Ovis aries: one gene and its partner. The protein of the gene in region 1 purifies or fractionates together with the protein of each later gene. This does not show direct contact. Links are inferred from orthologs where the notes say so. Each region holds a gene or a part of one and is shown in the gene's direction. Other genes may lie near its edges.

Region 1 (5,728 bases):
GCCCTTGGAGCAAAATGAAGTTGCCAGCTCTGTCGGGAGGCAGAGGAGTGATGGAGCAGAAAATATGCCCGGGATTCGGAGTCCCGGGCTGTGATGCCGGCACCCCCTCCCCCCGCCCTCTGGAACAGCGAGAGGGGCCCGGGGTTCCCTGGCTGCCGTCTGGAGCTGCGCTCCCACCACGCACTTAGCAGCTTGTTATCCTGTCTGCTGCCGCCCCCGCCCTTCCCCCTGGGCCGCCAGGCCACCCGCCCAAAATAGAAAAGGAAAGGAAGTTATTTCCATCGTCAGTGGCAGCCCGGAAAAGCTCCCCTCCAGTGAGTGGGCGGGCGGGATTCCTGGAGCTGGAGACCAAATCAAAGCCGGCCCCGCGAGAGCGGCCCCCACCGCCCCCGGCCCTGGCCTGCCTTCGCTGTGTGTCATTTCCCTGATTCAGCAGAACACGTGTTCTGCGGTTGCCACGCTGCAGGCCGCCGGGGAGCTGTGGGGAGCTCCTGGCCCGGCCCCAGGCTGCCGTCGGGCCCGGACGGCGGGGCAGGAGGCCGGGGGGGTCAGGGCGGACACGTGCCCAAGGCCCCCTTCCTAGCCCCCCTCCCGCTGTGGCCTCTGCCTGAGGCCAGGAGAGCAGCCCCTGCCAGTCCCATCCTTAGTGTGACCTTCCAGCTGCCGGTCAAGGCAGCTTCGTGAGGGGCTCCCACACACCAGAGCAGGGTGGCAGTGGTTTGCAGGTGAGGGGAAAGCCCCACAGGGGATAGGTCTCCCCTGGGACCACCCACCAGGTCTGGAGCCTGGGTCTGCTTGCCCTCTAGAGACCCTGGTGTCTCCGTGTCTCCTGATTCCAGCAAACCAACACTGGGGAAGGCTGGGCTGTCAGCCACTCTAGGTGTCTCTTCCCTGGGAACACACCTATCACTCAGCACCCAGGAGCTTGTGTTATCCTGGATGCTAGAGACAGAAGGCTGAAGGGCTGTGACCCCTGCATCTGTGTCCACATCCACAGCACCCAACATGAGCTCTGCCAACGCAGGCCAGAGACCTTTTGTTTGTTTGGCCAAGACACGCATGGCGTCTCACCTCCCTGACTTGGGATTGAATCTGCACCCCGTGCGTTGGAAGGTGAAGTCATGGCGCCTGGACTGCCAGGGAAGCCCCTAGGCCCAGAGACTTTGCAGACACCGGGTGGCTGGAAGCAGTGAGTGTCTGGCGCAGTAGGCGTCCAGGCCCAGAGGTGAGGGCTCAGCCAAGGCCTGGCTGAAAGGGGAGCTAGGGGGCTGGGCCTCCGTGCTGGAGGCGGCTGGAAGCTTGGGCACGTGGGTGCCATTCTGAGCAGGATCCCAGGGTGGTGGGCCAGGACACCTGTGTGTGGGCCTGACTGTTCCCTCCTCATCCTCACCTGTCGCCCTCCAGCATCGACGTGCTGGGCTCCGTGCCCCCTTCCAGCCAGAGGCGCTACCGCAACTGGAACCCCCCACTGTTGGGCAACCTCCCCGAAGACTTTCTCCGCATCCTGCCCCAGCAGCTGGACAGCATACAGGTAATGGGGGTGCCCCCGCCCCCAGCCTGTGCAGCGTCTCTCTGTTCGCGCCAGTCACTGACCCTCCCTGACGTTTAAGCCCAGGCTAAGCTGCCCTGGGGTGGTACGGAAAGAAGGCTGAGCCAAAAGCCTCCTTCCCCATCGGGGCCTGTAAGGTTTCCCCTTCCGCTTAGGAAGGGGACCGCCCTGAGGATACTCTCTGGCAAATGGCATCACCCTAGGGTGGCAGGAGTTGGGCAGGGGCAGGGTGGGGGGTCACTCAGTGACAGAAAGGCAGAGCACCTTCCTTCCTTCCTTCCTTCCCCGGGGAGAGGGCCAGGGTGCTTCTCGCCAGAGGCTGGCCCTTGCAAGCAGTCTCCTCTGAGATGGCCAGGACAAGGAAAGTATGAGTATGGGGACTCTGAGCCATTTGAAGATCACTCTTCAGGACTATTCAGGTTTTGACGAAGGGCATGCTGGTGGGAAGGTCCAAGGTGTCAAGCTGGGGAGGTGGAGAGTAGTTCCTAAGCCCCTGATGCTTCCTCAGCACAGAGGGCTCTGGTCTGTTACGTTGAGTCTTGGCTAACAGCTCGCTCTGGGTGGAGGAGGTCCTGGCCTCAGGGCGTGGCTGCAGCATCCCGGGAAGGACGCTTGTACCCCCGGTGCGCATGGGTGTTGGTGCGGCGTGCGCCCTTGTGAGTAGGGGGTCCGTGTGCTTGCTCCCTGCTCAGGCCACCTCCAGGGGCTCCAAGCTCGCAAGCACGGAGGGAAGCCTGCCGCCCGTGGCGGGGCCTGAGCCCCGGGACCAGGAGAGCCGCTGGAAGCAGTACCTGGAGGACGAGAGGATCGCGCTCTTCCTGCAGAACGAGGAGTTCATGAAGGAGCTGCAGCGCAACCGGGACTTCCTGCTCGCCCTGGAGAGAGGTGGTGCCCTGGGCCAGGGCAGCCGGGCCGGGGCGAGGGGTGTCGGCCGTAGCCTGGGGCTCCGAGCCGGAGGTCTGAGTTGTCCAGGAGAAAGTATGAAAGCGTGAGTCGCTCAGTCATGTCGCTCTTTGCGACCGCATGGACTGTAGCCCACCAGGCTCCTCTGTCCATGGGATTCTCCAGGCAAGAGTACTGGAGTTGCCCTGCCCTCCTCCAGGAGATCTTCCCTACCCAGGGATGGAACCCACGTCTCTCATGTCTCCTGCACTGGCAGGCAGGTTCTTTACGCCTAGCGCTGCCTGGGAAGCAGAGTTCTGCTCACAGGGACCTGAGTCATCGGGACTTAGCGGGAGTGCGGGGCGCCCTCTGGGCTCTGCCCCTCCTTGCGCCCCCGCACTTCTGCTCTGTGCCAGGCGCTGGCGGCTGCCCTGTGCGACGGGAGCTCCAGCAGTAGAGGGACTGTGTGGCTGGGTGCCAGGGTGCGTTCCTCCCTGAGCCGAGGACGTTAGAGCAGGGCCTCTGGAGGGTTTGGGGGTGTTGGGGTTGTTTCTGGGCCAAGGATCCTACTCCTCCTAGCCTGGCTGCCTTCCCCCTTTAGAGTGGTAAGGTTTGGGGTGGCGCACAGTGAGGGGCCTGTGGGAGAGAGGTGTTGTGTGTACACGTGTGTGTGACTGGCAGTGTGTTTTGGTCAGGAACATGGTGTGCAGGGGAAAGTCTGGCCTGAGACAGAGGAGCCGAAGGCTGGTCCCAGCTCTGCAGTAAAGATGCTGGTGGGAGTCTCCAGGCCTTTCCTTTTAGATGAAGGGCTGGACACTCCAGTTTCTCAGGGGCCTGTTAATTTTGACATTCTCACCTTCCAGGCAGTGCTTTCTGTGTCTTTGAGAGTTCTGGTTCTTTGAGAGCCCATAGGTGTCGCGTGTGCACGTGTGTGTGTGTGTGTGTGTGTGTGTGTGTGTGTGTGTGTGTTTCTCAGGGTTTGGCCTCCAACCACCTCTCAGCTCAGGCGGCCCTGGGTGTGAGCTAGCTTCCCTGACCAGACTGTGGGCCTTTTCCAGATCGACTGAAATACGAGTCCCAGAAATCATCCAGCAGCGTGGCCGTGGGAAATGACTTTGACTTCCCCTCTCCTGTCCCAGGTAACCTTGCCTGAGAGAGAGAGAGAGAGAGAGAGAGAGAGAGAGAGGGGCCTGGAGGGTGTGGGGGGCTCACAGCCCAGGGGTGTCTGCATATTTGGAGTTTGGAGAGAGGGTGGGGAACAGGCTGCAGAGGATGGTTTTGCCCTATCAGCATATGCCCGAGAGGGGTGAGACGGGCCCTCCCCTCGGCAGCCCTGGTTCCTGCCAACCCAGCGGCTGATGAAGCCCTCACCTGGGGCAGGCCTGCAGACTCGCTCCACTCCTTAGAGGCACTTGGAGCCTGGGCAAGAAGGGGACACAGCACACCACATAATGTCCCATAGGGTGCCGGGGCTGGCAAGGGACTCAGAGACCCAGGCACTGCCCCAGGGGAGCTTATGGTCTTGTGGGGAGTGCAGGAGATGCCTCCAAGAAACAGGGAGCCCGAACCAGCAAAGCTGAGGACGCTTGTTAATTATAGCAAGCACATGCTGGGGGACAGGGAGGGTCCATCTGGGGAAGGTTCATTCATTCATTCGGTAGCTGGGGACTGTCTCCCCCAGGCCAGGCCCAGCCTTAGTATTGGAAGAAGAGAATTTTGAAAGTTTTATATACAAGACGGGGAGAAGCAGGAATTGCCCAAGCGGCTGAAGGAGGGCCCGGGGTGGACGGCAGGCTACTAGGCTGCACGGATGGGGGTGGAGCTGGAGCTGGGGACCCCTCGAGAGCCCCGGTTCCACTCTCGACATCTAGACTGTGTGTGTGTGTGTACAGTGGCCCTGGTCAGTACCCGCCACGCACACACGGGCCTCCTGCCTCAGAGGAAGAATGTGCAGCTTTTGCCCCAAACAGATCTTGCATTGAGTGGTGGAGTGGGGGAGGGGGGCAGAAGGAGGGGGACTCAGTTGATCCCAGCCTGGAGAGAGAAAATCCCATGGAACTGATTCATAAGCAACAGGCTGGGAGCTTAGGCCCCACCAGATGTGCAGCGGGGGGTTTAACGGCAGCCACATGTCCTTGATCCCGAATTAACCATAGACACCGGGATGGCTGAGATGGATCAGAATGACTCACAGGGACTTAGTGGACAAGGTGACTCGGGATTAGCGTGGGGACCTCAGGAAGGCAGTGAAGGACCCAGGTGGGTGCTGAGTGATCCGGGAGACTCTGGCCGGCCAGCTGGGTTCTGACTTAGGGACTCACCCCACTCTCATTCCTGCTTATGGTCTAACGAGTCAGAAACCCGTGTCTGGGGGAGTCATGGAGAGGTGGACCCTGGCCAGGGGAGAAGGGCATCCCCATGGCGGGGGCCTGCTGTGCACCCTGAGCCTCCGTCCACTGCCGTGTTGATTCTCACACTGCGTCAGGACGCAGGCCAGCCAGCCACACGTGGGTGAACTTTCAACAGCCTGCAGGGGTGCGGGGGAGCCCCGGGGCCTAGCATCTGGTAGCTTCCATGGTGTGAACACTCCAGTCACAGCTGATTTCAAGCTCCCAAGGAGCCTTCACGGGACACGAAGTGGTCAGAGGAGCAGAATTGGGAGCCGGCCCTCCACACAGAATCTTTACAGAAAAGGGCCAAGTGAGACTTGGATGAGGAAGGAAGCAAATGCTCTTTGAAGCCTAGTGTGACTCCCTGCCTGAAGCTCCCTCCGGGTTAGGGAGGAAGCCTGTGCTCCCTTCCTCACCTGGAAGGGTGGGGCCGAGGCCCTGTGCTGGGGAGACAGTCCTGACCCGCCGCCTCAGGCCTCGACCAGGGCACTGTCCCCTCTCCAGCTGGCCCTCAGCGATGTCTTCCCCCTTTCCAGGAAACAGCGACGCCAACCCCGCTGTGTCTGAAGATGCCTTATTCAGGGACAAGTTGAAACACATGGGAAAATGTGAGTCCGGCCCACGCCCCCTCCCCAGCTGTTCACAAACAGGCCTGTGGCTTCCTGGGAGGGGAGGGAGCCACCTGGCATTGTTAATGCCCACTGATTCTTGGTGAACCAAAGTGACATTTTAATCACTGACTGGCTCCCTCCGCTTCCCTGCCTCACTTCCCTGTGCAGCTGAGTCTGGATACAAATTAAGTTTTAAATCCTCTTGAGCCAGCTGTCTGCAGAAAATAATATTGTACTGGGACCACCCCCCAACCCCACCCCACCTCCCTTAAGAGTTCACATTCTCTGTGCTTTGA
Region 2 (5,728 bases), about 40 Mb from region 1:
AAATATATCTCTAGGCAATGTGCCTTCTAAAAATTATGTTTCTGCTATACTTGGGAGATTATTTTTGTGTATTTGTGGTAAACTGTATATGCAGTTCGAAGTCACTTCAGCATAAGAGACAATGTGAATGTACTTAATGCCAGTGACTGTAATACTTAAAAATGGTTAAAATGGTAAATTTTATGTGTGTTTTACCACAGTAAAAAGATAAGGACTTCCTTAGTGGTCCCCTGGCTAAGACTCCATGCTTCTTCTGCAGGGGACACAGATTTGATCCCTGGTCAAGGAACTAAGGTCCTGCATGCCACACTGCATGCCCCCCCCAAAAAAATAAAGAAGGAAAGAAAAGAAAAATAGTCACTTTATAAAGCATTTAGACTTGTTTGTAAAGTGCTCATTTCTCTGTAACTTCCCACATTCCTGTGGTCTAGACTGTAGCATGCATAGGAGAAGGGGTCCTGCCAAACTGCCAGTTCCAACTGTTTGTTTCTTTCAGAGAGACGGACTCTAGATAACAGGCGCAGGGTTTGGCATGCGCCTGAATTTTGAAGTGAGAGCTGGTAAACTGAGTGGAGGAAAATGGAAACAGTACTTGAGAAAGTTGCTCTAAGCAGCTGTATAAAGCTTTTTGGATAAAACTCTCATTGTCCACTTCCATAAATTCTAAGAAATAAACTCTGGAGCCAGTTTATTGTTGTCAGAAATGTCAAGCTAAGACTAAAATAAGGCCTCGAAATAATATAGACTTGGTTTAGCATGCAGTGCTATTTTAAATGTGTGATTGCAGTCTTATAAAAGACTCTCTACTAATGTTTGCTTACTTGTAGTCGGCAGAACCAACTGAAAGACCAGCAGCAGCAGGTGGTGTCGTTGTGCCCTGATGACACAGAGTGTCTGACAGTCCCACGGTACAAGCGCGACCTAGTTCAGAAGCTGAAGATTCTGCGGCAGGAACTTTCCCAGCAACAGCCTCAGGCTGGCCATTGCCGCATTGAGGTTTCCAGGGAAGAGATTTTTGAGGTAAACGTACAAGTCTGATTTTAATATAGAGAAAGTTTAAATTCCAGTGATGAACTTGTTTTCCAAGTATATATTGGGACTCAGTCTCTTTAAGGGCTTCCCTGGTAGCTCAGACGGGAAAGAATCCGCCTGTAATGTGGGAGGACCTGGGTTTGATCCCTTCGTAGGGAAGATCCCCTAGAGAAGGGAATGGTTACCTACTCCAATATTCTTGCTTGGAGAATTCCATGGACAGAGGAGCCTGGCAGGCTACAGTCCATGGCGTCGCAGAGTCAGACACGACTGAGCGACTTCCACTTTAATCTCTTTAAAATGGGAGAATTTTCATTAATTTCTCTTCTTACTTGTGGGGAGTAAAGGCAGTAGTATTGAAGAGATTTCATATATAAGATAAACATTTGAATGGGATGAAGTGTGAGAGGTTCTGATGGGTAAAGCTTGGTCCCTGCATTGCAGATACTGATTTGTTCATGAATTTTAAAAGACCACAGATATTATCCATCCCTTATTTTTTAATTCTTCCGAAAGGTAAGGGACTGTTTGATAAAAAAAATCGTTTTGTCTAAATACTGTTGGACTGCTTCCTTAATTTATTGAAAATCTTCCTTTCTGGTATGTCCTTTTCTCTCTCGATTTTATAGCTCTAATAGCAGCTTCAGTGTTCTTACATAATAAGTGGCAAGAGGTCCAAGGCAGGACTTGCCCACTTATTAGAGGGTTCCAGGGCAAGAGATGTTTGGGGACTTCATAATCCTTCTCCCAAAGGATGAACTTTTTTCTCTCAGAACAGTTCTGACCTTGTTTGTACTCAGCCCTTCGTAATGTTAAAATAATGTAAAGTTGTCAGTGTAGTGAGGAGTACATTTAACAATTACTTAACGTTCTTTGAAACTTTCTGCTTCTTACCTTTACTTTCTGGTGGAATCTGTCACTTGGATGAGGTCGACTAACTTTAAAAATGTGGTACTTCTGTCAGATTGTGTTTTTTTATGTGGTATCATTGCTATAGTTAATAGGACTTAAATATGGAGTCTTTAGTAGGTTTTTAATATGTCTATCAAAGGATAATGTCTATCAAAGGAATTGATTTCAGTAGTATTAAACTATATCTGTTTTAAGTTCCATGAGGTTCCAAACACTTGGAGTTGATCCGTTGATTTGATTGTTGAACACATTCCACCTTATTTAAATAAACATATGTTTCGTAGGTGGAATGGGAAGGAGAGTTTAAACAGGAGTTAAAAACACGTAGTAATAATAGTATATTAAACATTTTTTTCAGGAATCATATCGACAGGTCATGAAAATGAGACCGAAAGATCTCTGGAAGCGATTAATGATAAAATTTCGTGGAGAAGAAGGCCTTGACTATGGAGGGGTTGCCAGGTAAAGACATACTTGGCAGTAAATGACTAATAGATCCTTATATTTGCAAATTAGATACTCTCTGTGGTGTAACCTTCTCATTGGTATTTAGTTTCTAACATAATGTTACCTAATGTCTGCAGTATGGAGGATACCCTAGTACATACATTCATAATGAAGTTATTTTGTAGCACTGCTGCCAGTGGAGTATTTGTGAACTCCCTAACGGATCATATCTTCCAGTGAGACTTTCTCTGAAAACTAGCTGCAACCCTACGTGGACTATTGGTAGGGCCTATAGGCCTGATATTTTCTCCATTTCTCTCCTTCAGTACATGCTCTTCCCTCTGCTTTACATTGTCAGGGACAGTCTTGAGATTTTAATGATGTGTATTCTAAACTGAATACTGTTTCCCTTTGCTTCCATTGCCATGCTTTTTAACCTTGTTAAAGGAATGTTTGTGTCTGAAAGTATGTGTATATATCATAAATTCTCCATAGAATATTTCAGTACATTCAGTATGTTTCTGCTGCATTCATACATCAAGTATTTTGTTTCCAGGTGTGAGAATTCACTATATATAAATGCAGCAGAAACATTATAGCTTCTTTGTTAAAACATTTTAAGGGCCATCATGATAATTCTGTCTCCCCTAATCTAAATCCAGCCTAAATGAAATTTGTGTTTCCACCAGGTCCCATAATTGCCAGTTGGCATTACTTGTTTTTACCTGTAAACTTTTTCTGTGACCCTTTTACTTGCAAATGGATAGTTTCCTTAGTTTGGATTTTTAGAATTGATCACTGTGCATGCATGCTCAGTTGTGTCCAACTCTTTGCAATCCCATGGCCTGGAGCCCACCAGGCTCCTCTGTCCATGGGGATTTCCCAGGCAAGAATACTGGAGTGGGTTGCCATTTCCTTCTCCAGAGGATCCTCCCAACCCAGGGACTGAACCTGAGTCTCCTGCTTGGCAGGCAGATTGTTTACCACTGAACCACCAGGGAAGCCTTTAAAAAACACATATATGCATAAAAATAATACAAGACATATTAGGTGTGAAAGTTGCTTATTGGAGATCTCACTTTTTAATTTATAGACTTTTCAAGTATTAAACATAATGATTTGATTTAGACTCCATCAAATGATAGAACTTTGAAATGTTTTCCTTTAACTATTTTAATAGTGTTTCACTGCATTTCCTAAAATTATATTATTCCCCTGTTTAATCCATAATATCAGAGTATACCACTTACATGCCTTTCCTAGCTGAGGAATGACAGGAGTTGAGACTCGGACGTCACCTTAAGTTCTAGACTAGTGATTGTATTTCTGTCTCACCAAGATAAGAAGTGGTCTTTCATACTTTGAAAAATGTAAATGATTTAATCAGTTTAAGGTGATAGAACTGGTTATTATAGGTTTTAAAAACACTGATGTATGCTTAAACCAAGAAGTGGGATGAAACATCCCCAGGAAGTGCTGGCCTGCCCTTTCATTCCCACTTAGACCACAGGCCTTGGTAGTTTCTCACCATGTACATGTTTATCATGGTTATTCTAGGGTTTACACAAAACAGACAGTGGAAATGGATAGTGAAATTTTCTTACTAAAACCATACCAACAATAAGACATGAATTAGTTATGTGTGAATGTTATATGTTGTATAAACTAGTATAAAACTGCCACGATTGGAGAGGATCAGGGTGCTATGGATGGGACCACATGGAGGTTTCGAAATAAAACCATATTCTTCCCTTCATTTTATATTTATCATGGATCACAAATTTCTTTAGCAATTGAAAGTAACAGACCACTGGGCTGCAGCATCTGATAGTACTTCTGGATATTATTATATTCGCTGATGTTAAAATGTCGTAAAATTACCTAAAATTGAGTGAGACATGAGTTCAGTATAATAAAACAAGGGTTTTTCATTTACTTTGGGGCATGGTAGATGATGATTCTTTTAAATTTTTAATTGGAGGATAATTGCTTTACCATGTTGGTTGGTTTCTGCCATACAGCAACAGAAATCAGCCATAGGTATACTATCTCCTCTTGAACCTCCCTCCCATCCCCCACTTTGTCCCACCCCTCTAGGTTGTCACAGGGCATGGGGTTGAGCTCCATGGGTTAGTATACTTTTCTAAAGTGATCTTACATAACTAGTTACTCGTGCTTTATTTTATTAAAAACTTCTTTGCTAACATTAATTAATAGCATATCTTAGTAAAAGTATATTTATTAACAAAAAATTCCTGTGGCATATCTTGTTTTTTAGGGAGTGGTTATATCTCTTGTCACATGAAATGCTGAATCCTTATTATGGCCTCTTCCAGTATTCAAGAGATGATATCTATACATTGCAGATCAATCCTGATTCTGCAGTTAATCCGGTATGATTGATGGTTATAATGATATGAACTGACTTATGACCTACAATGTTTTTTCATCTTTAAATGTCAGTGTAGTCTATGACATAGGTTTGTTGGCTTTGTTGAAGTCACATCCTTGGACTTGGCAAGTCCTCTTTTAAGTTTTTCTTAGATAAGTGATGATGAGTGGATGCATCAGTTGGGCCCAGGGAGGTTTACCGAATCACTGTTTACAGTAGCCCCAACTGGAAGTAACATTGCTGTCCACAAGAGGGAGTGATTAAATTATGACATGAAGCAGCATGACGTGGTTAAGAGCTTAGACTCTGGAATTAGACATGAGAACATATCCTGGTCCTGTTACTAACTAGCTTTGTGACTTTCATTGACTTAAGCCTCAGTGATAAAATATATAATTTGAACCTGAGAGAAGGGTTGTGACTGTTAAATGAGACCCTGAACAGTGCTATACGTTATTAACCCTATTACATATTATTAAGTACTCAGCAAGAGTTAGCAGCTGTTACTAATTTGTTGGTTTTATAGTATTTCTATTATCTTTCCATACAAGGGTATATTATAGAGCCCCTAAAATGATGTTGCGGGATAATGGATAATGATACGTAAAGATAGTATTTGTAATATATTAGGTGAAAAAAAGATAATGAAATAGAATGATGCAACTTTGGTAAACATACATATGCGTGAGAACATTGAAAAGATCCACACTGTAGTATTTACAGTGGTTATCTCTGAGTGTTAAGACTATGAGCTTTTTTTCATTGTCTGTATTTTCTAAATATTTTGTAGTGAACAGGTACTGCTTTTTTAAAAGAAAAGTGCTATTTGTAAGATAAAAGGGAGGCTTAAAGGTGAGCTTAGGGATTGTTAAACAGAGAAGTAAAAGAAGTTTAAAATACAAATATCCAACAGTAATAAAACAATATATCATGGAAGACCAAATC

The links.
Region 2: the proteins of CUEDC1 (region 1) and SMURF2 purify together in Homo sapiens (co-immunoprecipitation; 3 studies listed by BioGRID and IntAct, with this or other methods). This does not show direct contact. The link is inferred for Ovis aries from reciprocal best matches to the Homo sapiens genes CUEDC1 and SMURF2.

What each region holds. Positions count from the first base shown.
Region 1 is NC_056064.1:8,368,077-8,373,804, reverse strand, and holds part of CUEDC1 (CUE domain-containing protein 1), read left to right. Parts: intron 1-1,404; coding exon 1,405-1,531; intron 1,532-2,241; coding exon 2,242-2,434; intron 2,435-3,489; coding exon 3,490-3,570; intron 3,571-5,357; coding exon 5,358-5,429; intron 5,430-5,728.
Region 2 is NC_056064.1:48,467,610-48,473,337, reverse strand, and holds part of SMURF2 (E3 ubiquitin-protein ligase SMURF2), read left to right. Parts: intron 1-827; coding exon 828-1,020; intron 1,021-2,302; coding exon 2,303-2,406; intron 2,407-4,669; coding exon 4,670-4,784; intron 4,785-5,728. UniProt on the Homo sapiens protein: E3 ubiquitin-protein ligase which accepts ubiquitin from an E2 ubiquitin-conjugating enzyme in the form of a thioester and then directly transfers the ubiquitin to targeted substrates.